Mus musculus: one gene and its partners. The protein of the gene in region 5 interacts with the protein of the main gene of each other region in a pairwise test. Links are inferred from orthologs where the notes say so. Each region holds a gene or a part of one and is shown on either strand. Other genes may lie near its edges. The genes, in order: Rgs2, Gpr37, Rad1, Syt11, Prkn, Snca and Tomm70a.

Region 1 (4,600 bases), on a different chromosome or scaffold from region 5:
AGGCCACATAATCCCAGACCTATTGATTTTAAATGCTCCAACAACATTGCATCGGATCTTTCATCTCAAACTCTGCTTTCCCGACAAGGAGGAAGAACACATTCAGAGGCCTGTTCCCTCCCTCTGTTCTTCACACAGTGAGGGAAGCCGTTCTCACACAGAGCCTCTCCTAGGTTGCTGACTTCCTGATTCACTACCCAACATTGAATCAATAGTTCTGAGCGATGTTTTCCTAACACTCAGGCTGAATTCAAGGTCAGTTTTTTTTTTTTTTCTGGCAGGTCACAGCCTTTGCTCTTGGGAGACAGAATGGAATGTCCTTTGTGTGTGGGGGGACTCCTGGTCTCATGTAGCATGGGGCTCCGTGGTGATCTGTGGCTTTTTACATAAGTCCTGGTAGAATTCGGACTCCAAGAACCGAGGATAAGAATTGTTCTCCATCAAACTGTACACCCTCTTCTGAGCTGTGGTGAAGCAGCCACTTGTAGCCTCTTGGATATTTTGGGCAATCAGAGATTTCGTTTGGAAGTCTATGTTTATCTGAAAGAACAAAACAAAAGTCCATTTATTGGCTAGTCAACACTGCAGATTGATGCTTAATAATAAAACATAAAGGTGTAACTTGTGATCAGTTATAACTGTCAACTTTGGAGAAACTTAAATGTTAGGACAGCTGGGATGAGAGGCGCACAGGGCTCTTCTCACTTGTGCTTGAATGTGGTGTATTCAAGTCTCAGGTTTCAACAGTGTTGAAGGTGATCTGAGGCGCCTGTCTTCTTACCTCTTTGGGAGCTTCCTTCTCTATGAAGTCGGTATAGATTTTCCTTGCTTTTGAGGACAGTTTTTGGGGTGATTTGGTTTTTTTGAAGTCTTCACAAGCCAACCAGAATTCAATGTTTTCTTCACAGAACTCGGACTTTAAAAACGCCCTGAATGCAGCCAGCCCATCTGGAAGCACAGGAAAAGCAGCATGAATGGAACGACCGAATTATACACAGTTCTTCTGCACAAAATGATCAGTTTCCTAGACTTCATTCAAGCCTGTCATTCTCTAGGTCTGGCTCTTTAAGCACTAAGATGCCAGTAGGCAAAAATGCTTAAGTTTGTAGTCTGCAACAAAAGTATACTTAACTTCACTGGCACTGCAAGACCAGTGTTTATAGGCCATAAGTTCACTAGGAACTAGGGCTTTTGAAAATATTCTATGCAATGGAAAAGCTGACTCAACCACAGCCTGAGTAACTGGCATTTTAATTTTTAGGCTAACTTTTCTTCCCCACCTGAGGTGAATACCTCTTGCTTCCCCATGATTAAACCCAGTGATATAAGGGAAAGAAAAAGAGGCTTTGAACTGTCAGTGGTGGTAATGTCTAATGCACTTCTTGCAATCATTTCTAGGCTTTTAAAGATACTGGTGAGAGATCACATTCAAGAGGTGAACTTACATTTACTGGCCAGCAGTTCATCAAATGCTTCTGCCCAGAGCTGCGCTTCCTCAGGAGAAGGCCTGCAAGAGAAGTTCCGCAAATGAGCTCCCCAACACACATCAGTTCCCCTTCCCCTTTTGCTTGGCTTGGTTAGATATTCATCTCTGTAACTACAGGATCCGAAACTTACTTGATAAAAGTTTGCTGTTTGCTTTTCTTGCCAGTTTTGGGCTTCCCAGGAGCAGAGGAATTCTGCAAGAAGTAGCTCAAACGGGTCTTCCAATCCTTTAAGCTGGAAAAAAAAAGAGAGAAAAAAAAAATACTTCAAGTGGCAATTCTTGAACGGTCAAACTATCATCAGCTGCAGTAGCTACAAACAAAGCAGATGAGTCTCTCCCTCTTAGCTTTTAAACCCAGCACCTCAGAACACAGTTTTATCCATTCATCCGACTATAATGAGCTTTACAAGCAGGATAGGACTACATAACAGCCAGGGTATTTTAAATTTTCACCAGTTATTTCTGACCTAATAAACAGGTAGTGGATTTTCTGCATGGTTAAACTACAGCTTGCTGTCATTTTTCAATTGAGAACAGCAGTCTTGACCCAGCTGATGTTTCTTCCCTTTCTGCACTGGGGGTAGGAGGGTCTGCACTATGCCAGAGACAATGCATAGGTGTGTGTGTGTGTGTGTGTGTGTGTGTGTGTGTGTGTGTGTGTGTGTGATGGATTCCCTAGCTCCCCTCTGCGACCGCCCACAGTGCTTCTCCGCAGCAGATACTGCAGAGCAAATTACTCATTCCATAGTCGTGACTGGGTGAGCCCTACTTTATGATTTAAAAATGGATCTCATACATTGCGAATCAACTCAAACATCTCCACCCAGCAGCTATGCAAGCAGCTCAGAACTAACAATGCAACGTCCAGACGCCGGTGGACGTTATTCAGCTACAGGATTCTGATGCCACATTAAATGCAGAACAAAAAGCCAACCAGCCCTTCTCAGATCATCTACCGCCACCTTCTTCAACCATTTCCTATAGTTCCTAAACTCTCGGAGCTCACATAGAAAAAAAGCAAATACCACCATATCTAGCAAGCTAACCCCCCACCCCCCAAGCCCCCACACTTTCTCTGCAGAGGTGCAGACTAGAGAGCATTCAAAGCCGAGATCGAGGGAAGGTAGGTCCCTAGCAGCAAAGCCAGGCTGGGTATGAAGAGCTCTTCGGGAGACAGGGCATACTCACAGTGTCCGCTTCATTTTCTCCCGCTTCTCCTCGACCTTGGGGCCGTTGCCTGCACTCTTGTCCATGGGTACGCAGTCGTGCTGGACAGCCAGGAACATGGCACTTTGCATTCTCAGACTCCCGCGGCCACCGCAGCTGTTTGAGGCCGGGAGCGCGCCGCGGGCTTTTAAGGCGGGCGGCGGCATAGGGGCGGGACCTGGAGGCGTCAGCCACGCCCCAAGAGAGCGCGGATTGGCTCGCTGCAGACGGCACGAGGGCGGAGTCGCCCCGGCCTGTGGCAGTCACGGCAGCCCCCGAAGGGCCTGGAAGCGAGGGCGCTGTTGACGTAGGCGCCGCATCCTCGTGCGCACACAGGGTGGGAGGTGGCGGGCGGGGACACAGAGAGATTTGGTAGGCACTTCGGGCAGCCACGCGGTGAAGGGTCTCCGAGTTCTTGGCTTTTCCTTTACTGAAGACCGTACCTTTTACTCGTGTGCGTGTGTGTGTGTGTGTTCGCGCGCGCCCCACCTTTGTATCTATTGTTCATCCGGACACCCATAAACTGCAGCTGGGATGGGGAGAGCCCTGCTGGCTGCACTCAGCAACTCTACCTATTTTAGAGAAGGAAATCAAACAACTAGAAAAACCTGAAATATGGACTGTTGAGTAAGGTGCTGTAGCTCGCTCAGGCACCTTGGAATTCCTAAAGGGAATTCCACGCTACTCAGGGAGGAAGCGGGAGAAAGTTTCTATTAAAACCTGGTGTTTTAACCAGTTCTGCAGTTTTGATCTTTAAATGCATGGCTGCAGCAGGCTGTGGCTTTGCAGGGTCGTTCCCCAGGAGACCCGAGGGGCATCTCCTGCGGGGCACAGCAAAGATCAGAGAGATAGGTGAGAAATACAAAGGGAAACCCAGGATCTCGCAGTTCTGCTGCACACGGATCATGTGTAGTTTCAGAGCGTAAGGAATCAGGATTTCCTCATGAGTCATTCACGGTTGAACAGATTTAGGAATTACTAGATGTTCAACTGCTTAAGTTAAGGTGGCGGTGCAGTGGGGGCTAGAGCTAGATGTGAGAGCCGGTTGGTGTAAAGAATTTGTTTGGGTAAGCTTCATTTGTGAGAACCCCTGTCTCTGCTCCTGCAGGGTTTAATAAGCCCTGATTTGTAAGAACTAATACATGACTTCAACTACAAACTGATTCAGCTTCCTATGTTACCAGAATGATGCGGCGGAATACCTAAGTGGTTTTCCCATAAAGTCTGAACAGACTAACAAAAAGGTACGGCTTAGGCTCTAGTTATTCTGATTCATACTAGATCTACTAAAAGGAAAATGAAGACCCATTCTCAAACTGGGAACCAAGCAACACATTGTGACAAGCTGAGGGTAGTTTGAGTCAGAGATCAAAGTCTGCAGTCGCTAATGAAGAAGATTGGTATAGCCTTATTATAGAAGGAATATCATTTCGATTTTAGCAACAAATACTTGATAGCATGCTTATGAATCTGTAAGATGAAATTTTTAATAAGCCGAAAAGATCTGCACTGTTTCTACATTTGCTTTAATTTCTGACGATTTAATACATATTTATTAAGCTTGTGTTAATAAAATAGTGTTGCTCGTTAAAATATCTGTAATGTGCAGGCATAGTTGACTTTTTTTTAACAATACAAAACAGGACTTTTTTTTTCTTACAACCCTGGGTATTAAAATCATCAATATAGGTCAGGTGACCCTTGACACTTGTGGCTGTTAGCAGGTGTAATCAGAGCCAGTAGTTGCTAAGTCTCTGTTAGGGCAGTCACTTTCCTCCTGCCTGAGCCCTAATTTCTCATGACTAAGAGCAGCAATGTGATTTTTTCTTCTCCTTTTTTTTTTTTTTTTTTTTTGCCAGTCTCAAAAGATACTATGCAAATCTTGCATTTAAGACCCTTTGTAATGGC
Region 2 (4,320 bases), on a different chromosome or scaffold from region 5:
ACAAGGGTTATTCTTGATCTTATGTTTTGAACGCACAGGATATAAATCTGCAGTATTTTGAGGTATTGACAAATACCGTTGCAAATGGGATTTTCTTCTCTTTTCATTTTTTCTACTTTAAAAGAAGAGTAATTTTATCTGTTTCCATTTTCAGTCATCCAACAAGCTGGTGCTGAACACTACCTCCCTGTGACATGTCATTTGACACTTAACCTTTGGTGAAATCCCGTATTTTAATTTTTGTCTAACTTTTTCCAAAATAGTTTTTTGTTTTTTTTGACCCTTGTCAGTTTTGTTGTTATGTCTGGTGTCTGTGCATCTGCCCATTTGAACCTCAACACAAGAAAAAAAATTATAAAGATTTTCATAGTCTACTACCCTCTCATCTCTCTCTACCTTTTTCTTCTTGGGTCCCTTGTGTGTGCACAAATTTATAACCCGTGACACTCTTTTCATCTCCAGATATTTAAGTAAGTCTCACTGTAGAGTTCCTTTTGCTATGTAAACACATATTCACAAATGACAGTGCTTAGGACGTAGATAGTTTGAGGCTCTTTACTGCAATTGTATTTTTACTGTATTTTCTATTGTGCCCTTAGATAATTCTTCTGTTGTTGCCTTTGTCTCTATCTCACATGTTTATTTCTTCCCCTTTTAAAAATTTGGTCCGATATTTGTCTGTTTTCTCAGCTATACCAAGATTGCTACACGGGGTTGTGTGTATATAAAAATTGGAAAGGCATGGGCATCGTGATGGGAGTTCGGTCCTCCTCAGTTCTCAGTTCTGAACATATCAAGGTTGCTGCGTTCCTCCTGCTCCCTGTGATCAGCTCTAACTCCACCTCCTGGTAGGATGCTTTCAAAGTCAATGTTAAAGGTAACGGGACACCTGGATCCTTCTTACCTTACAATCTACTCTCTTACCGAGTGAATGAAACCAATGAAGTCTGTTTCTTTTCTGACTCTGCTCTGGGGAATCTAAGACTGTGAATGTGTCACTATTCCCTGGGGAGTCTGAAGCCTGAGCATGCGCACCAGTTGCTACCAATTGTTGCAGATCTCAAGAGGCTTGCCCTTTCTACCTTCTCCTCCAGGGATCCCCGCCTGCACCGGGGGTCCTGAGATCCAACCCCCTCCTTAGTGGTGACAGATTAGGTCGGGTTGGTTGGACTATCTAGGGCAATAACCCATGGAGTTCACGTCCTCCTTGCCTTTAGCCGTGCAGATTCGGCGCCTCCGCCCTTGTTCCCGGGTCGCTCCTAGCTTCCTATTGAAAGCTACTGCGAACGCCTTGAATGAAACGTGTGTGGGTTTAGTGTGTGGTAAAACCACCAGGGGATCCCGTCTCTCCACAAACCAGATGCTCTGCTAGAAGGAGGACGAGAGGGAGGCGACCTGGAGTGAAGCCCGCGCAGTGGCTGAGCCGCTGGGAGAGGCCGGGCCACCTCCCCTGTCCACCATGCACCGCTCCGCCCGCCAGCAGCGGTTCCAGGCACCACGCTCTCCACCCGGGTTGCGATGGTGGTGGCAGTGACAAGCTCCTGCAGCCCACAGCACTGTGCACAAAACAGCAGCGCCCTCTCCTCCCTCTCGCTCCACTCCACGCCTTCTCAGCCCGTGCACTAGGCGCAGCCGCTGGCGCCATCCACTTGTCAACTTTGAACTGAAGGAGCAGCAACTTTGACAGTGGCCGCGGGTTTCGAATCTGGCTTCTCCTTGGCAACAGTCCCTTTGAAAGTCGTCGGAGTTAAACGAAGCAAGAGTTTCCTCTGTGCTCCGGTGGTGCCTTGTTTGCAAGGGTCCCCACCCCCCACCCCCCCGCCAGCCGAGAGTGGGATTGTGACAGCCAGTCCCCTAGTGGAGCGGACTTGTTTTTCTTTTTCTCTAGAGACCTCTACTAGCGACTGGATAAAGCAGTATGGAAAGGATGTAAATAGCAGAGCAACTGTTACCAAGAAGACAGCCACCACCCAAAGGCTGGGAGGAGCGCGGGGCTTCCTCCAGGCTGCGCCCAGTCGCAACATTAGGGAACAATCAGGTGGTGTTCGCAACTTTTCAAGGTCAGCCTCTTGGATCTGTTATTTCCCTGGGAACCTTCGGGTGCACCGAGCTTGGATTAGATTTGGCTGGGAAATGCTCAGAACATGAAACGTGGAAGGATTGTAGGGATGTGTTGATGACACCGTCCTTCCCCAAGCGCCCTGTTCCCTCCCAGCAATCTTCTGCTCCCATCCTCTACCCAGCGGTGAGTATGTGACATGTGCCTAACTCTCTGCACCAAGTTTGGCAGCAGGTGTCGGTGCTAAGCTAGAGCCAGGCTAGTAGGTGCGCCCTCGCCGAGCCATGCCAGCCCGGGGCGCGCCTCTCTCGCGCACATCGCGGCTGCTGCTCCTTCTGCTGTTTAAGGTTTCTGTCTCTGCTGCCCTGAGCTTTGTCCCTGAGCCCAGGAATGGAACTTGTCTGGGGGAGAGCTGTTCCCCACTGATCCAACGCCGCAGCAGGGATGCCCGTGGACCTGGGAATTCGGCAAAAGACGCTCTGCGAGTCCATGTGCCCAGAGAGAAACTGGAAGCAGAGGTGAGAGGGGCGACCTCTTGGGACCTCCCACCACCCAGGGGCGGTGACACAGGTGTGATTGAAGAAGCGGCGGCTGCTGGGCCCTTGGGACCTCCAACCAAGCCACCAAGTGCCTGGAGATGGAAAAGTGCCCAGGGTAAAGAACCATCCGGGCATTTGAGGAGAAGGGACCCCACGGATCCCCAACTCTTCTTTCCGACATCGGAGGGGGGAGAGATGAGTTCCAAGCGCGATGGGATTCCCCAGAGCAGGCAGGAGCACAGTGTGAAAACGGAACCCAGAGATCTTTTTTACTGGCCACGAAGAACTGGACAACTCCAGGATTCCCAACACAGGCCTTCAGCAGTACACGAAGGAAGGACCCTTGCTCCTCCAGGCAGGGCACTACCGCAAAACGGGTCTGCAGATGACTGGGTTCCTGACCAAGGGGGTCCACGCCGTGGAAACACCACGCGGCGCGTGAGATTGAAGAACCCCTTCTACCCATTGACCCAAGAATCCTACGGAGCCTATGCGGTCATGTGCTTATCTGTGGTGATCTTTGGGACCGGCATTATTGGCAACTTGGCAGTGATGTGCATCGTGTGTCACAATTACTACATGAGGAGCATCTCCAATTCTCTCTTGGCCAACCTGGCTTTCTGGGACTTTCTCATCATCTTCTTCTGCCTCCCCCTGGTCATCTTCCATGAGTTGACTAAGAAGTGGCTTTTGGAAGATTTCTCCTGCAAGATCGTGCCCTATATCGAGGTAATGACCTCTAGCTACTGCCTTTTTCTGTTTCCGGAGAATAAGCACCTACCTGTGGGACTCTTTGCTTCTTTCTCTGAATCCCTTCTCTTTCCCCCAGTCACTTATGCAAGCACGTGTGTGTATGAAAGAAAGCAGCTTTGCTAAACCATCTTCAAACTCCATTGCTCCTAGCCTGGTGTGTGTGTGTGTGTGTGTGTGTGTGTGTGTGCGTGTGTGTGCGTGCGTGCGTGCGTGTGTGTGTGTGTGTGTGTGTGTGTGTGTGTGTGTGATAGTTCTATATGTACAGCTTTTCTCTGGATATGATATTTTTGACTTGGTATCCTGGGTTAAATAATGGCCAGCCCATGGTTGTCTTTATGGGAACGTAGTACTGGGGGTGGGGTGGGGGAGGGATCATTAATATTCATTTACTAAAGTTCTAGTATTTCATCGTGATTCCACCATGCCATCCCCAAGAGAGGCAATTGAGCTTTTTCTCATTTTTAACTACCAAAGCTGAGGTTATATTTTATGTATAAAAGAACATCAATTTTAGTTTTTGTAGTTGGCCTCATGATATATTAGGAACCTCCAAATTAGTTTAAATTGGTTAAGATATCTACCTTATTGTTTCCTCTACATTGTTAGGACTTCTTTGTGGATCCTTGTTAACTTTTAGAAACAGTTCAGTTTTCTGGATAAACTTAAACAAAAATAAGACTTAGTCCAGTCTCCTATAATCTAACATTTGTAGAGCATAGGACACAAATTTGCCACTGCTATGGCTGTGAAGAATAAACAATTTTAAAATGATTTATAGGTAACATAAGAACAATTCTGAAGTAAAAAAGGAGTTAGCTTCCAAACTTTGAGATGAAAATTGTTTGAACAAGACAAGGTTTTACTGCTTCATGCTAGAGCTACTGTACCCGTCGTTGCTCTAGCAGTAGGAATTTGCTCTGTAAATTGGCTTCTCTTTAAACACCAGCTCTTGGAACCCACCCAAGTGTT
Region 3 (4,288 bases), on a different chromosome or scaffold from region 5:
CTAAATACATAAATTTAAGCCTTTCTTTGAAATTCAGCTAAAAGTTACTATTAGGGTGTTTCCTTACCACCCTAATAGTAGTAATTGTCTCATTAATTCCAATTCATATATCATAGTGTGATTCAGATTAGTTCCCTTCATGTTTCATGTCCAGCTCCTAAGAGGGAGCGCACTAACTTTTATTGAAAACCAGCTAATTTTCCTCAAAAGTCACTTTTATCCTTTCAGACAAAGGTACAAGATTTAACTGTTAATTAAAAGTGGGGTACAATGTCCACATTGCCTCACTCAGTACTTGAGTACTACACTAAGCACAAAGGACTAACAAGTCTGAGGCAAGATTTCCTCCATACAGATACCTTCCTTAAGGAGTTTCCAGGTGACTGAAAGTAACTCCAACAAGAACCTGCTGGCCTTTAGAAGAGACACACAGTTTTCTATGAAGCCTTCTTTCCTTCTAAACTCCAATATTTCTGGAGGAACTCTTGTTCATTATTTCCTAGATGCTAAGGCCAGGGAAGCTCATCTTGGTATAAGTGTGTCGCACTGTTTGACACAGTAAAACTAGTGGTCTAGGACCCTTGAGTTAAAAGATCTAACCAAACAAGTCAGAGTCACAGACTCACAGGACTGTAGCTTTAAAGGCTTGGCAAATAAATAAATAAATACATACATACATACATACATACTTCGGTAATCCTATGTGATACGGACCAAAACAGAAGGAATTTATAGTTACACCAAAAAGACTCTGAGAAAAAAAAAAAAAAAAGACAAAGGAAAACCATTACTCTGGGGAGGCGGGGTGGGGGTCAGTAACTGGAAGACAAGGATCCTGGAACTAAACACCCATTAAATCAACTCCCTGTTAACTGGCTTAGGGTCTACGAACTGCTGTCTCCAGGAAGAAGGCCATCTACACGAAAATTAGACATAAACACTGTCCAGTCCCTCCAGGGAACCCTAAGCATAAGATCCTGTCAAGTTTTGACTGGAGTCACTTCGCTGCTTCGGTGGCCCAAAGGTGGGTCAGAGCGCCGACTCCAACTTCGGGAGTCGGGCCTCTTACCTTGCAAACCGGACCTGGAATACGATCTCTATTTTCCTCCTCCGCCTCTTTGGCCACATCGGCCTGCTTAGCTGGCTGCCCGGCATCTTTCGAGCTCCTTTTTGGCTTCTTCGCTTGAACCTCCAAGCCTCCACGCCGCTTTCTCTTGGTCGCCGCCATCTCGCCTCGCCGCGTCGGTCGCTGCCTGCACTTCCGGTTCTGCCGCTCGCTCTGCCTTCCGATCTCTATGGTAGCCCACGTTAGGCTGTGAGTTAAGTCATCCGGCTCCAAGGCGCTCGCTTCCGGTCTCGAGGTAGACTCTCTAGGCACACGGCGGCTCGGTGGTGACGGTGGCCTAGGTGGTTGCGTATCTGAACGGTGGCGGGAGCTGTTTGCCTGGCTTGCTAGCTTTTTGGACGCTCAGGGTGTTCTTGGGGCTGGGGTGGCAGGGGCTTTGAGGGGTCGGACGTCACCCACAGCCTGGCGCCAGGGGCTCCCTTAGTGGCCGCTGTGCGGCGAGCGGGCCGAAGTCGCGTTCTCCTGCAAGCCAGGTTGGTGGCGCTCAGAGGTGCTAAGCAAGCCCGGTTACCCGCGCCTTTTAGAGCTACCCTGTGAACTGCATTCAGTGTAGAATACCGTAGTTTTGAGACATGAAAATAGAATGATCTCGATTTCGGCTCGGGTTGAGGTCGCCAGTCCTGTCCGCACTGATAGCGAGGTTTGTTGTTCCGTGTCTCAGGTTTTCACACATCTTCCGGAAGAGGAGCATCCTTCTTCTCGGAGCCGACGGTACCGTGGACCATCCATGCCTCTCCTAACCCAGTACAATGAAGAGGAGTACGAACAGTACTGCTTAGTGGCCAGCCTTGACAACGTTAGGAATCTCTCCACTGTCTTGAAAGCCATTCATTTCAGAGAACACGCCACGTGTTTTGCTACCAAAAACGGAATCAAGGTTACAGTGGAGAATGCAAAGTGTGTGCAAGCAAATGCCTTTATTCAGGTATGGGGGAGTGAAGACATTTTTAAAGCATTCCCTAATGAATGAATTTGGAAGGACTTAATTCAACAAAACTCAAGTTAGTGAACAAAATGTCGTTACTTTTTTTTCTTTCCTGCCAACAAATACTTTCCCCATCTTGTCTCACACAGATAACGATTACTAGTGATAGTTTATTAATGACTCTTCTCACCATTTTCCTCTTTTAATCTTTACACATATAGACACTTTCTCGTTTGACATAGTGGCACCAGATTTAATTTTCAGTAGTCTTACAACTGATTGAATTAGGGCGAGAACCCTATTTACTCTTTACAGTATTATTGTCATGCACGTTTTAGTTTTTCCTCTTATTGGCTGTAATTTTTCCTCGGAGCATTTTCCCCCGGAGATAGAGTCTAACATGTAACCCTGGTTACCTGGAACTTGGTTTATAGACCAGACTGGCTTCAAGTTCTTGGAGATCCGCCTGCTTCTGCCTTGCCTCTGCCTCCCAAGTGCTGGGATTAAAGGCATGTACCACCACTGCCTGACACTGAATTATCCTATCCTTAAGTGACTTTAGCTTTAAGGGATAGGCACAAGACAGAGTTAGGGCAAGTTCACATAGGTGTTAAATTTAGATACAGAAATGAAGATGAAGAGCCCTTACTAGGGGGTGGTAACTTTGTGGTGTTTGGCTTTTTAATATTTTTAGAAAGGTTTATTTTATGTATGTGAGTACATTGTCTTCAGACAGACCAGAAGAGGGCATCAGAACCCATTACACATAGTGGTGAGCCATGTGGTTGCTGGGAATTGACCTCTACCTCTGGAAGAGCAGTCAGTGCTCTTAACCTCTGAGCCAACCTCCAGCTCCTGGCTTCTTAATTTCGTGTGTATGAGTGTTTTGCCTGCATGAATGTCTCCAAAAGGCGTGTACCTGGTTCCTGCCAAGTTCCTGTGAAGGGGGTGTTGGATCCCCTGAAAATGGTTACAAAAGGATTTTAGTCACCGTGTGGGTGCTGGAAATTAAACCTGTGTCTTCTAGAAGATTAGCAAGTATTCTTAACTGATGAGCCATCACTTAGTGTTCCACGTTTAATGATTAAACCATTCAGTAGTATTCAAGTGGGGAAAGGTTGAAAACTTAGTATGTCTTAGTTGGGAATGAGAAATACTCTCATGGAGTTGGCAGAGTATTGTTACTTTCTAAGCATAAAGTGAAATATAGACGTGTGAATTTTCATTCTTTAATATAATCCACTTTCATGTTTTCATGTTTGCTTTCTCATAGGCTGACGTGTTTCAGGAATTTGTCATTCAGGAAGAATCTGTTACTTTTCGAATTAACTTAACTATCCTTTTAGACTGTTTATCTATTTTTGGATCAAGTCCTACACCAGGTGAACTATTTTACTACTACAACTACTGCTACTACTATTGTTGTGGCATAAAAGTATTTATTATGGTTAAAAAAATAGAAAATACATACAGGAAGGTTTCTAGAATATAAGCTTTTTAATTTTTTTTAATCTTTTTTTTTGGAACAGAGTCTTATGTATCCCAGACTGGCCTTGAGCTCCCTGTGTAGCTGAGGATAACCTGGAATTTATCTTCCTGCCCTTGCCTCAAGTGATGAGATTATAGAGATAGGCAACCATTTATAGTTTTATGTGGTGTTGGGGATTGAAACTGGCACTTCATACGTGTTAGCCAAGCACTCGACTACAGCTGAGCTACGGCCCCAAGCCCAACAGTATTTTGTTAGAAAACTAACTTCTCAGGGAAGGACTAGTGAGGCCCCACCCCTAGTAGAGATGCTTTTGGCAGCTGATGGCAGCTAGGGGAGGGAAAAGTCATTTCTTTGGAACAAGTTGAGGAGTCCTAGGGAGGGAAGTATTAGGCCCTAATAATTAGGGGGTGCATTTGTATATATGAATTAAATTTTTAAAGAATAAAGGGAAACTGATTTCCAATTCATTTTCCTCCTAGTTGTTATAATCATAGGACATAAATATTTAAACTACAAGTTGAATGTTTGTTTTAGTTCTTTACATATTTGTGAAGGTATTTATTCATTTTAGGTCATCCTAATAGGCAAGGTATGTTATTACCTTACCTTCCTTTTTGCTGTGAAAAGAATGACTGACAAAGCAGTTTTAGGGTTTATTAATTAGGCTCACAGTTGGAGTGTGTAGTCCATGTGGCAAGGATGAACCTGGAAGCGAAGCAACAGCACAAGGCGGCTGGTGGCATTG
Region 4 (3,853 bases), on a different chromosome or scaffold from region 5:
GCCTCCTCATCTCACCGACCAAGAGCTGGGATTTCAAGCCTCTGCCATGATGCCCAGTTCTCAAAGTCAGAATTGGCTAGTACAGGATTCCAGTACTCAGTCAGCAAAAGCAGGAGGATTATTGTAAACTCAAAGGCAGCCTAGGCAGAGTTGAGTCTCTAGCTGCATATGTAGCAGAAGATGGCCTAGTCGGCAATCAATGGGAGGAGAGGCCCTTGGTCTTGCGAAGATCATATGCCCCAGTACAGGGGAATGCCAGGGCCAGGAAGCGGGAGTGGGTGGGTTGGGGAGCAGGGCGGGGGTGGGGGGAGGGTATAAGGGGCTTTGGGGATAGCATTTGAAATATAAATGAAGAAAATATCTTAAAAAAAAAAAAAGGCAGCCTAGGCTATATAGTAAGTTCTAGGCCAGCCCAGTCTATGTATTAAGCTCCAGGCCATTGAGAATTACATAGTAAGACCCCATGTGTCACGAAATAAAACAATAAAAGTAAGTGCTGGAAATGTAGCTCAATTGATAGCGTGCATGCTTGCACGTACATGTGAGTCCTGGGTCTAACTCTCGCACTGCAGGCACTGTGTGCTAGTGCACACCTAAACCCCATGGGATTTAGCGCATGGGATGCAGGGAGGACAACAAGGAGTTCAAGGTCATCTTCAGTTCCACCAGATTCTTTTTGTGTGTGTGTGGTTTTTTTGAGACAGGGTTTCTCTGTGTAGCCCTGGCTGTCCTGGAACTCACTCTGTAGACCAGGCTGGCCTCGGACTCAGAACCTCTGCCTCCCGAGTGCTGAGATTAAAGGCGTGCCCCACCACGCCAGGCTGTTCCACCAGATTCTTGATCAACATTAAAAAATAAGTCTCAGGGCTGGAGAGATGGCTCAGTGGTTAAGAACACTGACTATTCTTCCAAAGGTCCTGAGTTCAATTCCCAGCAACCATTTGGCCTCTGGGTTGCAAACAAACACTGCCAACAACTGTCTTTTTCCTCCAATAAGGTGAGAACTTCTTAAGGATAATAATACGCCAGGCACGTTACCTGGTTCCTTATTGTGACCTAATGGGGGAGGCAGTGTTGTCAGCTGAGGGGAACAGACTGAGAGGAGTTAGGTGCCCACTGTCTTGCAGCTGGGACGCAGACGCTGAGGTGTCAGGCAGTCGATTCCAGCAACAGTGTGTACCAGCAGCCCTGTTCTGTCCCCCAACGTCCATGGATGAACTGCCAGGAGGGGTGGTTGTATATGCTCTGGAGGGGTGGTTGTATATGCTCTGAACTCAGGACGTTAATTCCAGAGTAATATTCCTGAACGGGGAGAGGGAGAAAGGGCAGTGTGGAGGCCCTGAGCTTCCTCCCAATGCAAAGCAGGGAGAGGAGTAGACGAAAGGTCTGTGTTAAAGGTTAGGGCTTGGAAAATGAAGCGCTGCGCTAAACTGAAGTCATAGCATGCTTATAAAAAGATATACACAGGGGCTGGAGAGATGGTTCGGTGGTTAAGAGCGCATGTTGTTCTCAGAGACTCAGTTCAGTTCCGAGCACCCACATCAGACAGTTAAACTCCAGCTCCAAGGAATCCAACTCCCTCTGGTGTCCTCAGGCAGGCGTGCACACTCACACACCCACAGACAAGAACACCCCCAAAGAAATAATATTAAGAATATTTTTCAAAGAAATGCTCAGGGACCATTGCGATGGCTCAGTGGGAAAGTGTGCTTGCTCTCAAGCCTGATCTGAATGGAGAGAAAAAAACCAACTCCTGCCAGTTGTTCTCTCATCTCCACAGACTTGCTGTGACACACATGTGACCCCCCCGGAACTTACAAATAAATAACATACAAATGTAAAAAAAGACATACAAAACAAGACAAAACAAAAACAAAAACAAAAAAAAAAAAGGAAAGCGGGAAGACACAGCCACGGCACACCTATAATCTCAGCACTTGGGAAACAGAGGCCGGGAGAGCCAGAGCTGAAGGTCATCTTTGGGCACAAATCCAGCTTAGGTTCCAGGCCAGTCTGGTCTACACGAGACCCTGTCTCAAAACTCGTGGAGCAGTGGTGACACACACATTTAATCCCAGCACTGGAGACAGAGGCAGGTGGAGTTCTGACTGAGCCTGCTCTATGGAGTGAGTTCTAGGCTACACATAGAAACCCTATCTCAAATAAACAAACAAAAAACAAAAACAAAAAATAGAAAATTTGGGCGCGGTGGTGCATGCCTTTAATCCCAGCACTTGGGAGGCAGAAGCAGGCAGATCTCTGTGAAGTTGACACCAGCCTATTAATGAGTTCCAGGATAGCCAGGGCTATATATAGAGAGAGACCCCCATGTCAAAAAAAAATCATAATAACATTCATACCCACCTAGGAAAGGAAGCTGAGGAAAAAGTGAATTAATTTTTATACTTTTTCAGCAGTGAGATGTATGCTCCCTCAAGGAAGAACACAGGTTCTAGAATATCAGGTTGACACCTTTATCCTTTAATTGTAATGGGTCCAGGGCTGGTGGACCAGTCTGTTCCACACAAGCTGGATGTAGCACTAGGATACCAAGCACTCAGTGTAAGCTTAGAAGCAACTTGCCCTTTCATCTCCCGGAATTTGCTTCATAGAGGAACACACCTGCCTGGCCTTCTGTTATCCTTTGAGCACAGCTTAGCTAAGAACTCAGTAACTTCTCTGTCACATGTCTTTGTTACCGGCTTTCTCCGGACCCTCCTCTCACTCCGCTGAGATCTGGCATGCCCCCTTCGACCATCCCTCCCCTGCATACCCCTCCTCCTCACCTGAATGTTCCTCTTGATGATGTCCCTGGTCAGCTGAACCTTGCCTGTGCTGGGGTCCACTCCAGCCAATGGCACCATGACCTCTCCGATGACGTCATCCCGAGAGAATCGATCAAAGCTGAGCACCAGGAAATGCAGCACCAGGTCCTGCAGCTGGCTGTACGGGATGCCGTAGAAGGTGAAGGTCTCATCGAACACCGGGTCCAGCGTCTTGCGAAGCACTCGGGTCTTCACTCGATGCCGCTTGTCCGGGAGAATGGTCATTTTGATGTAGGGATCGGAGCCCTGGGTCTGGTCATCCATCACTGGCAGCCCGTGAGCCTCTTGGATTGTCACCACCAGAGCTTTCTTGGGAAAGTTGTAGTCCACGGAGAAGGTAAGAGAGCCTAACATCACGTCTTCCTCTGGCGAGGATGGGGAGGTGGCTTTGCTCTCACCAGGGGTCAGGCTTGTCATGGGGCTCCTCAGTTCTTCCCCATAGTCTCTTTTGATGGGTAACTGGTCCATACAAGATGCAGGGCTAGGCCCTCTGGGATCCTTGTCGTGGCTCAGCAGGCCAGACTCCGCGTTTATTAACAGGTTCCCTCGTCCACTTTCCCTCCGAGGGCCATCTTTGTCTCTCCGAACTTTGATGATTTTCTTCTTGTTGCTGAGGGTCTCTGGGTAGATGCTAATGCCTTTCAGCATATGAATGAACTTGTATGGCGGGGTCTTGTGCTTCTTCTCTGCCTGCTGGTGGCAGCACGTCCACACAAAGACAGTCACTGAAACACACACCACCAGCACGGAGGCCCCGATGAGGCCAGCCGCTACCGGTGACACATCTGAAGACAGAGACCAGAGTTATGTCAAAACAGTATTTCCATTCTTGTTAAGAGTGTGCCTCTCCTGGGGCCAAACTAGTCCTCACTCCAGCCCCACAGTGGGAGCCCATCTGGGCTTTAGAGCTTTTCTGCTCACTGCCCAGGAGGTGACCCAAACCCTTGCCTTCCTGCTAAAGCCACAGAGCACATTTGCAAAGCTACTGTTGTTTGAGACAGGGTTTCATTATGTAACCCTGGCTGTCC
Region 5 (2,861 bases):
GTATTAGGCCATCTCCCTGGACCCAAGCGTCTTCCTGTCTCTCTTCAAAATATCTATCTATCTATCTATCTATCTATCTATCTATCTATCTATCTATCTATCTATCATCTATAGTGTGTGTGTGTGTGTGTGTGTTTTCGCGTGCACGCGTGCTCGCGTGCTCAAACCCACCTGCCTGAGTACCATGCGCCTGAAGGAGCCCATAGAAATAAGAAGAGGGCATCAAATTCCCTGGAATGGGAGTTTTAGGCAGTTGCAAGCTACCCTCTGGGTACTTTCAAGCTGAACTCTGGTCCTCTGCCAAAGCAGCAAGTGCTCTTAACCTCTAAGTCATCTCTCCAGACTCTCCAGACCCAGTTTCCCTTGTTAACACTTATCTGGGCAAGTCTGTGAGCAAGGCAAGAAAGTGACTGCTAGGTTTCAGAATGAGATCTTGTTTTGAAATACTGATAATTAGGAGAGCAGAGCCCCCAAGGTTAATTATGGAAAGAAAAGAGACCAATTCCCCCCCCCCCCCAGTGGCTGATGCTTCCAAGTTCTCGTTTAGATGATCCAGAGATGCCCCTTCTATAAACACATATGAGAGGTCACAGAGAAATGCGGCCCATCTTCCCTCCCACATCTCCAAAATTGATCAGAAATGCAATCCCAAGGATAGGTACAAACACGCTTTTGATTCTTTCATTGACAGTCTGGGTCTTTATTGATTGACAGTCTGGGTACCACCACACACACAGACTTCAGGTATTTCTTAATACACTTCACAGAAAGAGAAAGATTGCTTTGCAGAGGTTTGATTTCCACTCTTCTGACATCCACTTTTATCCCACTATTCACACTCACACAATGCAGGCTGTGATTCATGCTCACACACTGTGGATGCCTGTCTTTTGGGTTATTTTAAGAATCACTATTGTATTCTGAAGAAAACATATGCATCTGTTAGGAAGGAAAAGGGACCATACTGGAGAGCCACAGAGCTTCAGGGAGTCCCTTTACCCAAAGCAGAACAGCAAACATTGTCCTGGCTTCCCAATGCGATTACGTCACACGGGTGTGGAAGGAGGCAGAGGCAAGCACAATGATGGAAAAAAAATAGTGATGGGTGACATCAGACTCCTGACTGCTGCTTGACAGGTGGTCTTTTCATTTTGGGAGCTGGCTGGGTGGAGTCTAGGGCCACTGGGACAAAAGTGTGAACTTAGGCCAGCTGGCCTTTCCTCACACCACAAGATAACATCATTTCTATATGATTTTTAGCTCTAGGCCTCAAGTTTGGTAGCCCCACCACCACCAAAAAAAAAAAAAAAAAAAAAGCAAAAGCAAAACAAATAAAAAACAGGAAAAAGAAAAGAAAACCTTGAAAGATTAACACTTGAGTGTGATGCATGTTGATCTGAAGGCTATCTTGGTGTGTGTGTATTGCCCTGTCTGTAGGACCACTGGGTGGATGGGGCTCCCTGGGGCTTAACAGCAGAGGAGGGAGCAGATATGCAGAGGTGTCCCCACTTGTGGTGGAAGGGGTCAGGCATACTCTCATTCAGATGGTCGAGGGATGCTCCTTCTATAAACATTGTGTTTCTTGACCCTGTTGTTAGCATTGGCGCAGCATCATGGGATTGTCTCTTAAAAACGCCCCCTTTATAGGCACTTTCTCTGTTAAATTCACAGTGAAGCTAAACTTCCAGGCTGCAGTAGGAATACTCCAAACCAAATTGCAGACTTTGTTATCTTTTCAGGGGGAAAAAAAGATCATTTCTTTCTAAAGTTGCAGATAATGAAACGAACGGAAGTAGGTTTGGCTTCTGAGTCCTCCCTGCGATTTAAGCAGTCTGCCATCCAATTAGCTTTCCTAGGTTCTCACTTGGTTGATAAGCTGATTAGTACACAGAGGGGTTGTAATCTCATCAGCACCATTTGTAAAGATAGGATTTGGGGGGATAAACAAATAGTTTTGACTACTGCAGGGGGCCCTTTGGGAATAGATGATTACTACATGAGAGCAGCGTTCCTCAGATCTCAAGTGTGCTTCTGAGAATCCTCAGAGGTGTTACTTACCCAGGGCGTGGCAACAACCCTGGAAAACACTTCCCACCTCACTCATGGCTTCTACAGAATCCAAACCAAAGGTGCACCCTCATCTAAGCTCTGACATTCGAGTGAGCCAGAGGCTGAAAGTGCCTCCTCCCCCTGGGGCCAGCGGGTGCTGTGGTTTTCTGTGGGTGCCCTGGAAAGGATCTAGGGGCTGCTTCTGTAATCTGCAGCCTGTGTTTGTGTGTGCGCATTTATGTGCTTATATGCATCGAGAAGAAGAAATGGCTAAGGAAGGTAGGAATCTTCGGAGTTTCCCTTGAGGTTGTGCGTCCAGGGCCAAGTGACATCTCTCTCTACACGTCAAACCAGTGATCTCCCATGCAGGCTCGGTTCCACTCACAGCCACAGTTCCAGCACCACTCCAGCTTGCACTGGGGCTGAGGACACTTCATGTGCATACATCCTCCTGTGGGGACAAAGGACATAGACGCTGTGGGTTTGTAACAAATACGGGCGAGCCCTTGTTCCCCGTGCCAACCTGCCATTCCAGAAACAGCTCTTGTAGTGAATAACAACCTCAAGCAATGAGAGCAGAGAGACTGACCCAGAGTGAACAACCAGACAGCAGCGGAGGCAGCTCCTGGGTCCGGATGCTCTAGAGAAATGGAACAAATCCCATCTGCATATCTGAGGTTCTCTTCTTTTCCCTCATTTAGACACAAATTGTTCACATTTTATAGACAGCGATTCTTCATTTTAAAAAATATATAACCATAATAAACACATGATTTTAAATTCATATTAAAAATTTAGTTACGTAGTATAAA
Region 6 (4,574 bases), on a different chromosome or scaffold from region 5:
CCCCCGATTGGTACTCTGGGTAGCATCTGCATCACTTTTGCCACCTGTTCTGCTCCTTTTCAGCCTGAATGTTTACCCTGAGTCTTCCACCAAGAGAGATGCCCTCCTAAGAAGGTGGAAACAGTGTTCACAGGAGGAAAGAGAGGTAGATGAACCCTGCAACTGTGCTCCCATGTGCACCTGTGTCTCTGCTGGGGATAAGCATGTGTGCATGGGTGTCTATTCCTTCCATGAAAGTACTAGAAGGGATTTGTAAAGTTACAGCCAATTTAACACAGGGAAAGACAGAGAAAGGGAGTGTTGGCCTTCCTTTCAATGTGTACAGTCAGGCAGAAAATGGCACTAAATATCAACCTCTTACTGTTCAGCATGTATGATCTCTGACAGGTGAACTAAACAAACATTTCTGAAGTTCCTTAAGTCCCGCTGTTCCCACTGACCAAGTGATCCCTAAAAGGAGATCCACCAAAGAAGACTTGCTTTCTTTCTTCTATTTGAGGGTCAAAGGAGTTGTATTTTCACAGTTGTAAAATAAAATTATGCAAAACTATTGTTTAAAGCTTTATAATTTATTAAACTTAGCAGGTATTACCTATAGTGATGATGAAAGAAATCAAAGTCCCATGAGTACTTGTGGCTCACTTTCTTTCTTTCTTTCTTTCTTTCTTTCTTTCTTTCTTTCTTTCTTTCTCTTTCTTTCTTTCTTTCTTCCTTCCTTCCTTCCTTCCTTTATTTCTTTATTTCTTTGTGTGTGTGTGTGAGTGTGTGTGTGTGTGTATGTGTGTGTGTGTATGTGTGTATGTGTGTATGTGTGTGTGTAAGAGAGAGTGTGTGTGTGTGTATTGTGTGTGTGTGTGAGTGTGTGTGTGTGTGAGAGAGAGAGAGAGAGAGAGAGAGAGAGAGAGAGAGTGTGAGTGTGTGTGTGTGTGTGTGTGTGTGTGTGTGTGTGTTCTCACATAGTTCAGGCTGGCATCAAATTCTCTGTGTAGCTGAAGATGACCATCAACTCCTGGTCCTTGGGCCTCCACTTCCCAAATGCCACCAGGCTTACTGCCATACATGTCTTTGATTCATAAGCATATTCTTGGTTATTTTTCATGGGTTGCCAATTTTTAAAATTCAGTGTATTCATACACAGAAACAGAAAACCAAATAAAAAACCTACATAAATAACAAGATTAATGAATCTAAGGACAGAAAACATTGTCCCTGTTTGTTTCTGAGAGCTAATATGCAGGTTCATATTCTCTCACCTCCACACAGCTGTCACTCTTCTGAGAAGCTGTGATGCACACGAATCAGACACCACACACCAGCCACCCCAATTCATTAGTCACAGTGTCACTACCTACCTACATAGAGGACTCCCTCTTTTGTCTTTCCAGCTGCCTCTGCCACACCCTGCTTGGTTTTCTCAGCAGCAGCCACAACTCCCTCCTTGGCCTTTGAAAGTCCTTTCATGAACACATCCATGGCTAAAGATGTATTTTTGCTCCACACTAGAGAATACAGAATACATTTTGAATTAGAAAATTTGGGTAAAAAAATAATAATAATAAGGTTTAAAACAGCTAGAGAAAGAAAGGAAATTGAGGGGGAAAAATCAGTATGCCTTCCCCCAAGTCCTGGTGTAAGTGTGATTTCTTGGGTGGGGGGATGTGGGGGTGCTGGGCACAGTGTTGATTGATTGTTGAGTTATGTCACTCAATACTAGGAAAAAGTCATGTCACTTAAGGATGGGATGGATCTAGTTTGATCATTCGACTGCTCTTACATACATATTTCAGAAGAAGAGTTGCAGAAGGGGAGGTGGGCATCCTCTACCCCATCAAGTTCCCAGGGCCCAAAGGTTACATTCAAAGTAAAAAGACTATCTAGAAAAGGAACATGGGAGGTGGGCGTACAGAGATGGAGTGGGGGCAAGAGGATAAAAGACCCAGAGAGGAGTCAGTCTTTGGAGAAGGAAGGGAGGGGAACTGTTTAATCTAGAAGTAGGGAACTGCTTGAAGCCCAGCCTTTCTAATCTTGCAAGACCTTCTGCCCACCACTAGCTCTTTGCCTGCTATCTGCCCAGAGCAGGCGCTGTCCATACACTTGAGCAGTCTCACTTGAGCACCACCCAACCAAGAAGCTCTGTCCTCAGCTGGAATCCTCTAGAAGACCCTGCACCCCATGCTCATTAACCCTTTATCACCTGTTGCCTACTGTCCTCTGCACTTCTATTAATCATGGGCCAAAGGCACCCTTCTTCCTCTACAGAAAGAAGCTGAAATGCCTGGGGTTGGAGCATGAAAGTTGGATGCTCAAATTCCACCCAATGCCCAGCACTAAGCTTCCACCATCCAGCACTCAACATGAAACACCCTAGCGTTTCCGCTTGAAAAAGCAGATGCCACAGGCAACCTGGCCTTTCCCTCGGGCTTTGACAGGATGGAAGGGCATGTCTCCAGCGAAAGGAAAGCCGAGTGATGTACTTTCCACGCACTGGCCCAGTCCCCACCGCCAAAGCAGCTGTAGTTGGTCTTCTCTAGGCGTCCCGGCTCTTTGCTCCGGCTAGCTAAGATCCCCAGAGCTGCCCCATCTACAGGTACTTACCGGCTCCCTAGGCTTCTGAAGAACTCCGATTCTTCCTGTTTTCCCCAATCTAATTTCAATGAAAGAGGCAAGGGCAGGCAGGGGCAGGGGGAACACCTGCTGGTCTCCTGCCGTCTGCTGCCTGCTGCCGGGCGCTCTGGCTCCCTGGCTCCTTCACGTCGCCCCCGCAGCTGATTTGTCAGCGCCTCTCCCCGCCCCTCGCCTGCCTCGTGCCTTCGCTCCTCTTCCTAGGGAGGGGACGGGTTGGTTGGAGGTGCGGTGCGTGAGGGCTGTGGGTATCTGGAGCACATTCCCCCGGATGGAAGGAAGAGAGGACGGCCTGAGCCTCCCCTCGAGTTCAGAGGGCCCTCAGTTTTATCGTGGCTGAACTTGAGCTGGCGCCTCTCCTGCCCCACCCCCCTCCTTCCCTGCCTCAGTCTGTTCCCAGTTCCTCTAGGCGACCCCCTCCTCCAGGACGAGCCCAGATGCCACACCAGAGAGCTGGACCGCCTGAAATGGTCTGTGTGCGGAGCCAGGCAATGGAGAGGGAGCACACACCCTTGGGGTTGCTTTTGTTCACACAGCTTAAGATTTCCATTTGTTTTTACCCCGGAGGAGTCTAAAAGGGTTCTGGGTGCAAAGGGGAGCCGACTAAGGAAGAGTTACAGGTCGAAGAAGCAGGGGGAGGCTCAGCAAATCCTCATTCCCACTCCACTATCACCATTTTCTTTTCCACCAATCAGCGGCTGCCAGACGCTGATTTTTTTTTCCCCATCTGTGGAGCAAGGAATAAATATCCCCCAACCGTCGAAAACCAGCTGCCTCAAGGCTTTTTTGCACTTGAGAAAGTGGCTTACTATAGAGTTACAGGATAGGAAGGTAGCGGCTGTGGGATTCACCCTCTGGGACCATCACAGGCAGTTTCTTCCTTAGTCCCTACTTAATGGCAGATTTTGCACACCTCTTACCTTTCCGACTTCTGGCTGCGTGGAGCTCCAGCGAACAGACTCTTCTTCCAATCCAAGCACACGCGCAGATAGATGCACAGGCTTTGAGACAATTTCTGTGTTACTTAACACGTTCCCACTTCTCTCTGAGATGAGCAGAATACCACTGTTTTATAGCAGAGTGGATTTGAGTGCCAAGCTCCTCCCCCAGCAGAGTGCCTTGCTTTTCCTTTCTTGTATTCTGAACTTGTGTTGGGCACTGGAAGCTAAATCAAGCGTTTACTGTATTAAAAGGGGGGGGGGGTCGTAGGAGGGAATGCTTTCTCTGATCCTTGAAGTCAGTTGACTTCTGAATCCTGAAAAATAAATAAATAAATAAATAAATAAATAAATAAATTGAAGTCTAAAAAAGCATTTGAAACAAGGGACAAGCAGCTTGTTTGGCATGCTATAAAGGAAGGAGGCAGATAAAACCACAAATGCAGAGTACAAGTAATGTGACAGAAATTAACTGTTTAAGCAACGCCTTCAATTCTTATTCCCTTTAAAAATCAACCTTCCTACACACTAGTGGCACATACCATGTTTACTTGAAATTAAAGGAAAAGGTGGCACCTCTGCAGTAGATAGGGTTAGATCCTGGGCTCTAGCATCCCCATCCTGCCAAGTTAGGACACCTGTCCTCAACCAGCCAGGTAAAGTGACATATAAATAGTGAAATACTAGAAATGGGAGTAATTCAATGTGGCCACGTTAAGAAGAGGAACAGAGGTTTAGTGCCCCAAGTTCATCTTGTTTAGATAGAGGTCAGGATGTATGTATGACTAAGCAGTAGGTCAAAGTGTGCTTCCAGCTACTGTCTCTGTCTCCGCTCCAGTCTCTTCTGCAAGGAGGTCTGACTAAGTATCTGATATCTGATATTTCTTCCTGGGAGACATGCTCACCCTGTAATTGACACAAGGCTTCAGCCTTTTCCTTCCCTCAGCAAATTCCTGGAGGACTTCCAATTTCTTGGGGTCTATTTGTCAATAGTCTAAAGCCAGATGAGAGGAC
Region 7 (3,853 bases), on a different chromosome or scaffold from region 5:
AATTTATGACAGTGTCTTCAGGGTTGAGTTGAAGAGGGGGTAAACTTCTTTGAAAAGAGTCAGTCTGTTTCCCCTGTGTTTATAATGTCGGCGGTTTTAATCCGTATTTCTTTGCTACTTCTGTCTGGGCATGGGCAGCATCACAAAGTGAATACAGATGAGCCATCTCCATTTCCGACTTGGCCAAGTTGATAGCTTTGTTGAACATGTCAATGGCTTTCTCCATGTTTCCTCTAAAAGAGCAAAAATTCAAAGATTCTTCAACAAGCAGTTCTTAATAACCAATAAAGTTTAACTGTGCTGCATGAAGCCTTCGATTGTAATTCTAATAAAACGTTTCTTTCATAATAAAAAGGCCTAGCACAGCATACTGAAAACACTAATGAATCCACCTTACACCCCAATATATTCATCTCCTCCTCTCCTCCCAGTCCCTCCTCCAACAGCTCTTCCCCTACTCCCTCTCCCCTTCTCCTCTGAGAAGGGGAAGCCCCTGTGAATATCCGTCCACCCTGGCACGTCACGTCTGCAGGGGTAGGCACATCCTCTCTCACTGAGGCCATCATGGCAGCATATTCTGCCTACATTATCTTGAATCCTTTGTTAAATATGGGAAGACTAGGGTAACTAAGTTGGTTACTTAAAAACCCTAATTTTCCTGGTTCCTAAGCCTGTATGTTTCTGGTCAAATATGAGGCTTCTGGCAATACAGAGCATTAGTAGCCCTCAAACGCTTGCCCCTTAAAGGACTGACTCCATACTCTTACTACCTTATCTCTCACCCCAAATGCCATGCAGTCAAAGGTCAATCCCAGTTCCCTGACCATGTCAACCCTGATCACAAAGAGCCTCAGGTTATTGTCTCTGTTTAACTCTGTTCAAATCCCTACCTTTGAGGGCCCACTTCAAATATAGTATTGTATACTCTACACCTAAGAACTAAATACTTCATTCCCAATATTCCTCACAGTTCTCTTGGGCCCATATACATAGGGAGACGACTTTACTAGCTCATTCGTACGTATCTTTCAGTTCAAGCAGCTAAGTACAAAGGTTAGTAATTGCTATCTGTTTTTGAATAAATGGATCAACATGCTATAGCTAATAAAACTTTCCTCTTACATTTAAGAGTGACTAAGTTATATAGTTACTAAGAAACAACTGATTAAGGGAAGTAGTGTTATCTATGTATGCAAGCATGTGCATAATACTTAACTAAATGCGTGTAATCCTGCAACTAAGATCAAAGTCAAGCCTAGTTAACTCAGTATCACTAAAGGTGGCCCATATTTAACTTCCTATAGTATATGGCTAACACAATGAACTATTTTTGGTTTATATGGATCTGTTTTGATAATAGCTAGATGACCTGCAAAATATTAGTATAACCAGCAATGCCAATCACTCAACTTTAAAGTAGGATTTAGATGAACATTTTTTTTTTTGAGACAAGATTTCTAGCCCAACCTTACCTAAAACTCCCTATGTAGCTCAAGAGAACCTTGAACTTCTCTGATTCTCCTGCATAACCTCCAGAGTTAGTTTAGAATCTGTCGCGTGGCCTGTTGTAGTGCTGGCGAATGAAATCAGGCTAGCTAAGCACTCTATCCACGAGGCCTGATCCCCAGACCTACAACTGACCTTTTTTTTTTTTTTTAAATTTCACATGCACCAGTGTTTTGCCTGCATGTGTGTCTATATGAGTGTGTCAGATCCCCTAGAACTGGAGTTATAGACAGCTGTGAGCTGCCATGTGGGTGCTGGGAACTGAACCCAGGTCCTCTGGAAAAGCAGCTCGTACTCTAACTACTGAACCATCTCTCCAGCCCCTAAAATGGCTCTTACAGTACAAAGAAAATTCCCTCAACCCTTGTCCTCTTAAGGTAGCCTCTATGAATACTCTAAATGTCAAGTGTTTTTATATGCACTAATCTAAGAAGAATCTAGAGCTTTGCTCAAGCATAATTATGAACCACTGTTCTATCAGTAAAAGAATTATTTGTAATGACACATTAACATAAGAAATGGTATTTGTATATACCTGCCATCAGAAGAATCACATTTTTTTCGTCAGTCTTTTGGAGGAAAGAGAGCCACAGGAAGAGCAGACAATAGGTAATTAAGAGGACTTATCCTGGATCTTGACAAGTGATAGTGGCAAGATTAGTGCCTGACATCAGCAAAGTATGGACTCAAGTCTTGTCCTCAGTCATGTGTCACAGTGTGACTTTGTTAGCCTAACTGGCCTGGGCATTAGTTTCTGTACACCTCAATTTTATCTTGGGATCACTATAAAGATGAGTTTAGGCCAACAGAATTGCGATCTGGAAGAGACTGAAGACCAGTACTTAAGGGGCATAGTCTACTACATATATAGTAGCCAACATTAAATGTAGACCGTAAGGGCGACTGTGGGTAAATATTTACACTAAACAAGTTACAGGAAATCAGACTTGTTTAAAAAAAGTCCAACTAAACCGGAGGTTTCATGAAAATTCAGCGGCTCAGCTTCTTGGCTGGTTGCTTCTTTGTAGCGGGATCCAGATTCCAATACAGCTTAGCTATCTGTTCCTTGTTATCTGACACTGACTAAACCATACTTCAGGTATTTCTGGCCTTCCCACAGGAAGGATAAACATGAAAAAGAAAATCATACACAATAAAGACCTAGTTTCACCTTGTAAGGCACAAGCCGGATAGCTTTTATAAGTGTAAGTAAAATGAGGCAAATCCGAATTCCCTAATTTTTAGGGAAGCCTGCATCAAAAGTACAGCAAGCTTTAAAACTGTAATAGATATTGGTTTACAAGCCAACATACGTAATGAGAACCAAAGACAATATTACGTCTCTAAGAAGCAGCTTGATTAGTTACCTCTGCACTTCAATAGTCCCCATGGTCTCATATGCAAAGTCACATTTGTTGTCAATTTCAATAGCCTTGCTGATAAGCTCCAAACCTTTATCCAAATCTTGCTTCCACTGAAGTTGAAGTAAACTGGATTGGAGTAGGGTGGGGGAGACAGTTAGACGGACCCAATACTGATAAACATATAAACGTATGATTTGGGCTCTGTTCTCAATAAACAAAACAATTTATAAGGAAAACAAAGACTACAGCAGATCACACTGAAGGCTTCTGGTCTCTATTTCTGATGTTGAGTGCCTGGCCACAGATTTGTAAGTCAGGACTCAGTATTCCTTTTCTCTATTTCTAAGAAACAGAGACAACTGATTTTTGTATGCAGATACCAACCCTGTTTCATTCCCTTCCAACTCCTGCCCTAGAACCAGTCTGACTCCTGGGAGCAAGACCTAGAGAAGACTTTTGTGGGTTACAGTCTCTCTCTCTCTTTTTTTTGGTCTCTTTTCTACTATGCTAGTGGCACTGGCTGATTTCTAGTTGTTTACTCAGTCTGTTGTTTCAGTTGTGTTTGGCTCTATTTCATGGAAATAAAAAGTATATTAAACCCATCATGAAAAAATTGTTCTGAAAATTAAGGCATCTTCTCCTTTTACTCTGATAATATAAATTACTTTATCGTTATAAAAATAAAATTGTTGCATTATTTTCAATTTACTGACTATATTATAAATTCTGAATATCATACAATCATTTCAAAATATTAAATGTAAAAAAATACTTGTTTTACAGCCTTTATATTTTTCCCCATTTATGTGCATGTTTGGTTCTGTGAATGTATGGTGCATACATTCAAGGGTTAGTAGAGACCAAAAGAGGGTCTCAGATCCCCTGGAACTGGATCGAGTCACAGGCGGTTCTGAGTTGCCTGACAACACGGATGCTGAAAACTCAATATGGGTCCTCTAGACAATAAGGCCTGCTCTTAGTTG

Evidence for each region.
Region 1: the proteins of Prkn (region 5) and Rgs2 interact in binary tests that used the Homo sapiens proteins (3 or more experiments, as listed by UniProt). The link is inferred for Mus musculus from reciprocal best matches to the Homo sapiens genes PRKN and RGS2.
Region 2: the proteins of Prkn (region 5) and Gpr37 interact in a two-hybrid assay, tested with the Homo sapiens proteins (2 studies listed by BioGRID). The link is inferred for Mus musculus from reciprocal best matches to the Homo sapiens genes PRKN and GPR37.
Region 3: the proteins of Prkn (region 5) and Rad1 interact in binary tests that used the Homo sapiens proteins (3 or more experiments, as listed by UniProt). The link is inferred for Mus musculus from reciprocal best matches to the Homo sapiens genes PRKN and RAD1.
Region 4: the proteins of Prkn (region 5) and Syt11 interact in binary tests that used the Homo sapiens proteins (3 or more experiments, as listed by UniProt). The link is inferred for Mus musculus from reciprocal best matches to the Homo sapiens genes PRKN and SYT11.
Region 6: the proteins of Prkn (region 5) and Snca interact in binary tests that used the Homo sapiens proteins (3 or more experiments, as listed by UniProt). The link is inferred for Mus musculus from reciprocal best matches to the Homo sapiens genes PRKN and SNCA.
Region 7: the proteins of Prkn (region 5) and Tomm70a come close enough for resonance energy transfer, tested with the Homo sapiens proteins (3 studies listed by BioGRID). The link is inferred for Mus musculus from reciprocal best matches to the Homo sapiens genes PRKN and TOMM70.

What each region holds. Positions count from the first base shown.
Region 1 is NC_000067.6:144,001,335-144,005,934, forward strand, and holds the start of Rgs2 (regulator of G-protein signaling 2), read right to left. Parts: upstream 2,816-4,600; 5' UTR 2,785-2,815; coding exon 2,675-2,784; intron 1,720-2,674; coding exon 1,618-1,719; intron 1,508-1,617; coding exon 1,446-1,507; intron 949-1,445; coding exon 782-948; intron 541-781; coding exon 346-540; 3' UTR 1-345. UniProt on the Homo sapiens protein: Regulates G protein-coupled receptor signaling cascades. Inhibits signal transduction by increasing the GTPase activity of G protein alpha subunits, thereby driving them into their inactive GDP-bound form.
Region 2 is NC_000072.6:25,687,120-25,691,439, reverse strand, and holds the start of Gpr37 (prosaposin receptor GPR37 precursor), read left to right. Parts: upstream 1-1,459; 5' UTR 1,460-2,343; coding exon 2,344-3,327; intron 3,328-4,320.
Region 3 is NC_000081.6:10,484,666-10,488,953, forward strand, and holds the start of Rad1 (cell cycle checkpoint protein RAD1), read left to right. Parts: upstream 1-1,352; 5' UTR 1,353-1,599; intron 1,600-1,787; 5' UTR 1,788-1,853; coding exon 1,854-2,051; intron 2,052-3,324; coding exon 3,325-3,433; intron 3,434-4,288. Other genes in the region: Brix1 (ribosome biogenesis protein BRX1 homolog), read right to left, coding at 1,070-1,228. UniProt on the Homo sapiens protein: Component of the 9-1-1 cell-cycle checkpoint response complex that plays a major role in DNA repair. The 9-1-1 complex is recruited to DNA lesion upon damage by the RAD17-replication factor C (RFC) clamp loader complex.
Region 4 is NC_000069.6:88,758,940-88,762,792, forward strand, and holds part of Syt11 (synaptotagmin-11), read right to left. Parts: intron 3,611-3,853; coding exon 2,787-3,610; intron 1-2,786. UniProt on the Homo sapiens protein: Synaptotagmin family member involved in vesicular and membrane trafficking which does not bind Ca(2+). Inhibits clathrin-mediated and bulk endocytosis, functions to ensure precision in vesicle retrieval.
Region 5 is NC_000083.6:12,061,180-12,064,040, reverse strand, and holds the end of Prkn (E3 ubiquitin-protein ligase parkin), read right to left. Parts: intron 2,501-2,861; coding exon 2,388-2,500; 3' UTR 675-2,387; downstream 1-674. UniProt on the Homo sapiens protein: Functions within a multiprotein E3 ubiquitin ligase complex, catalyzing the covalent attachment of ubiquitin moieties onto substrate proteins. Substrates include SYT11 and VDAC1.
Region 6 is NC_000072.6:60,826,129-60,830,702, forward strand, and holds the start of Snca (alpha-synuclein), read right to left. Parts: upstream 2,877-4,574; 5' UTR 2,596-2,876; intron 1,500-2,595; 5' UTR 1,474-1,499; coding exon 1,353-1,473; intron 1-1,352. UniProt on the Homo sapiens protein: Neuronal protein that plays several roles in synaptic activity such as regulation of synaptic vesicle trafficking and subsequent neurotransmitter release.
Region 7 is NC_000082.6:57,148,963-57,152,815, reverse strand, and holds part of Tomm70a (mitochondrial import receptor subunit TOM70), read right to left. Parts: intron 2,997-3,853; coding exon 2,874-2,996; intron 234-2,873; coding exon 80-233; 3' UTR 1-79. UniProt on the Homo sapiens protein: Acts as a receptor of the preprotein translocase complex of the outer mitochondrial membrane (TOM complex). Recognizes and mediates the translocation of mitochondrial preproteins from the cytosol into the mitochondria in a chaperone dependent manner.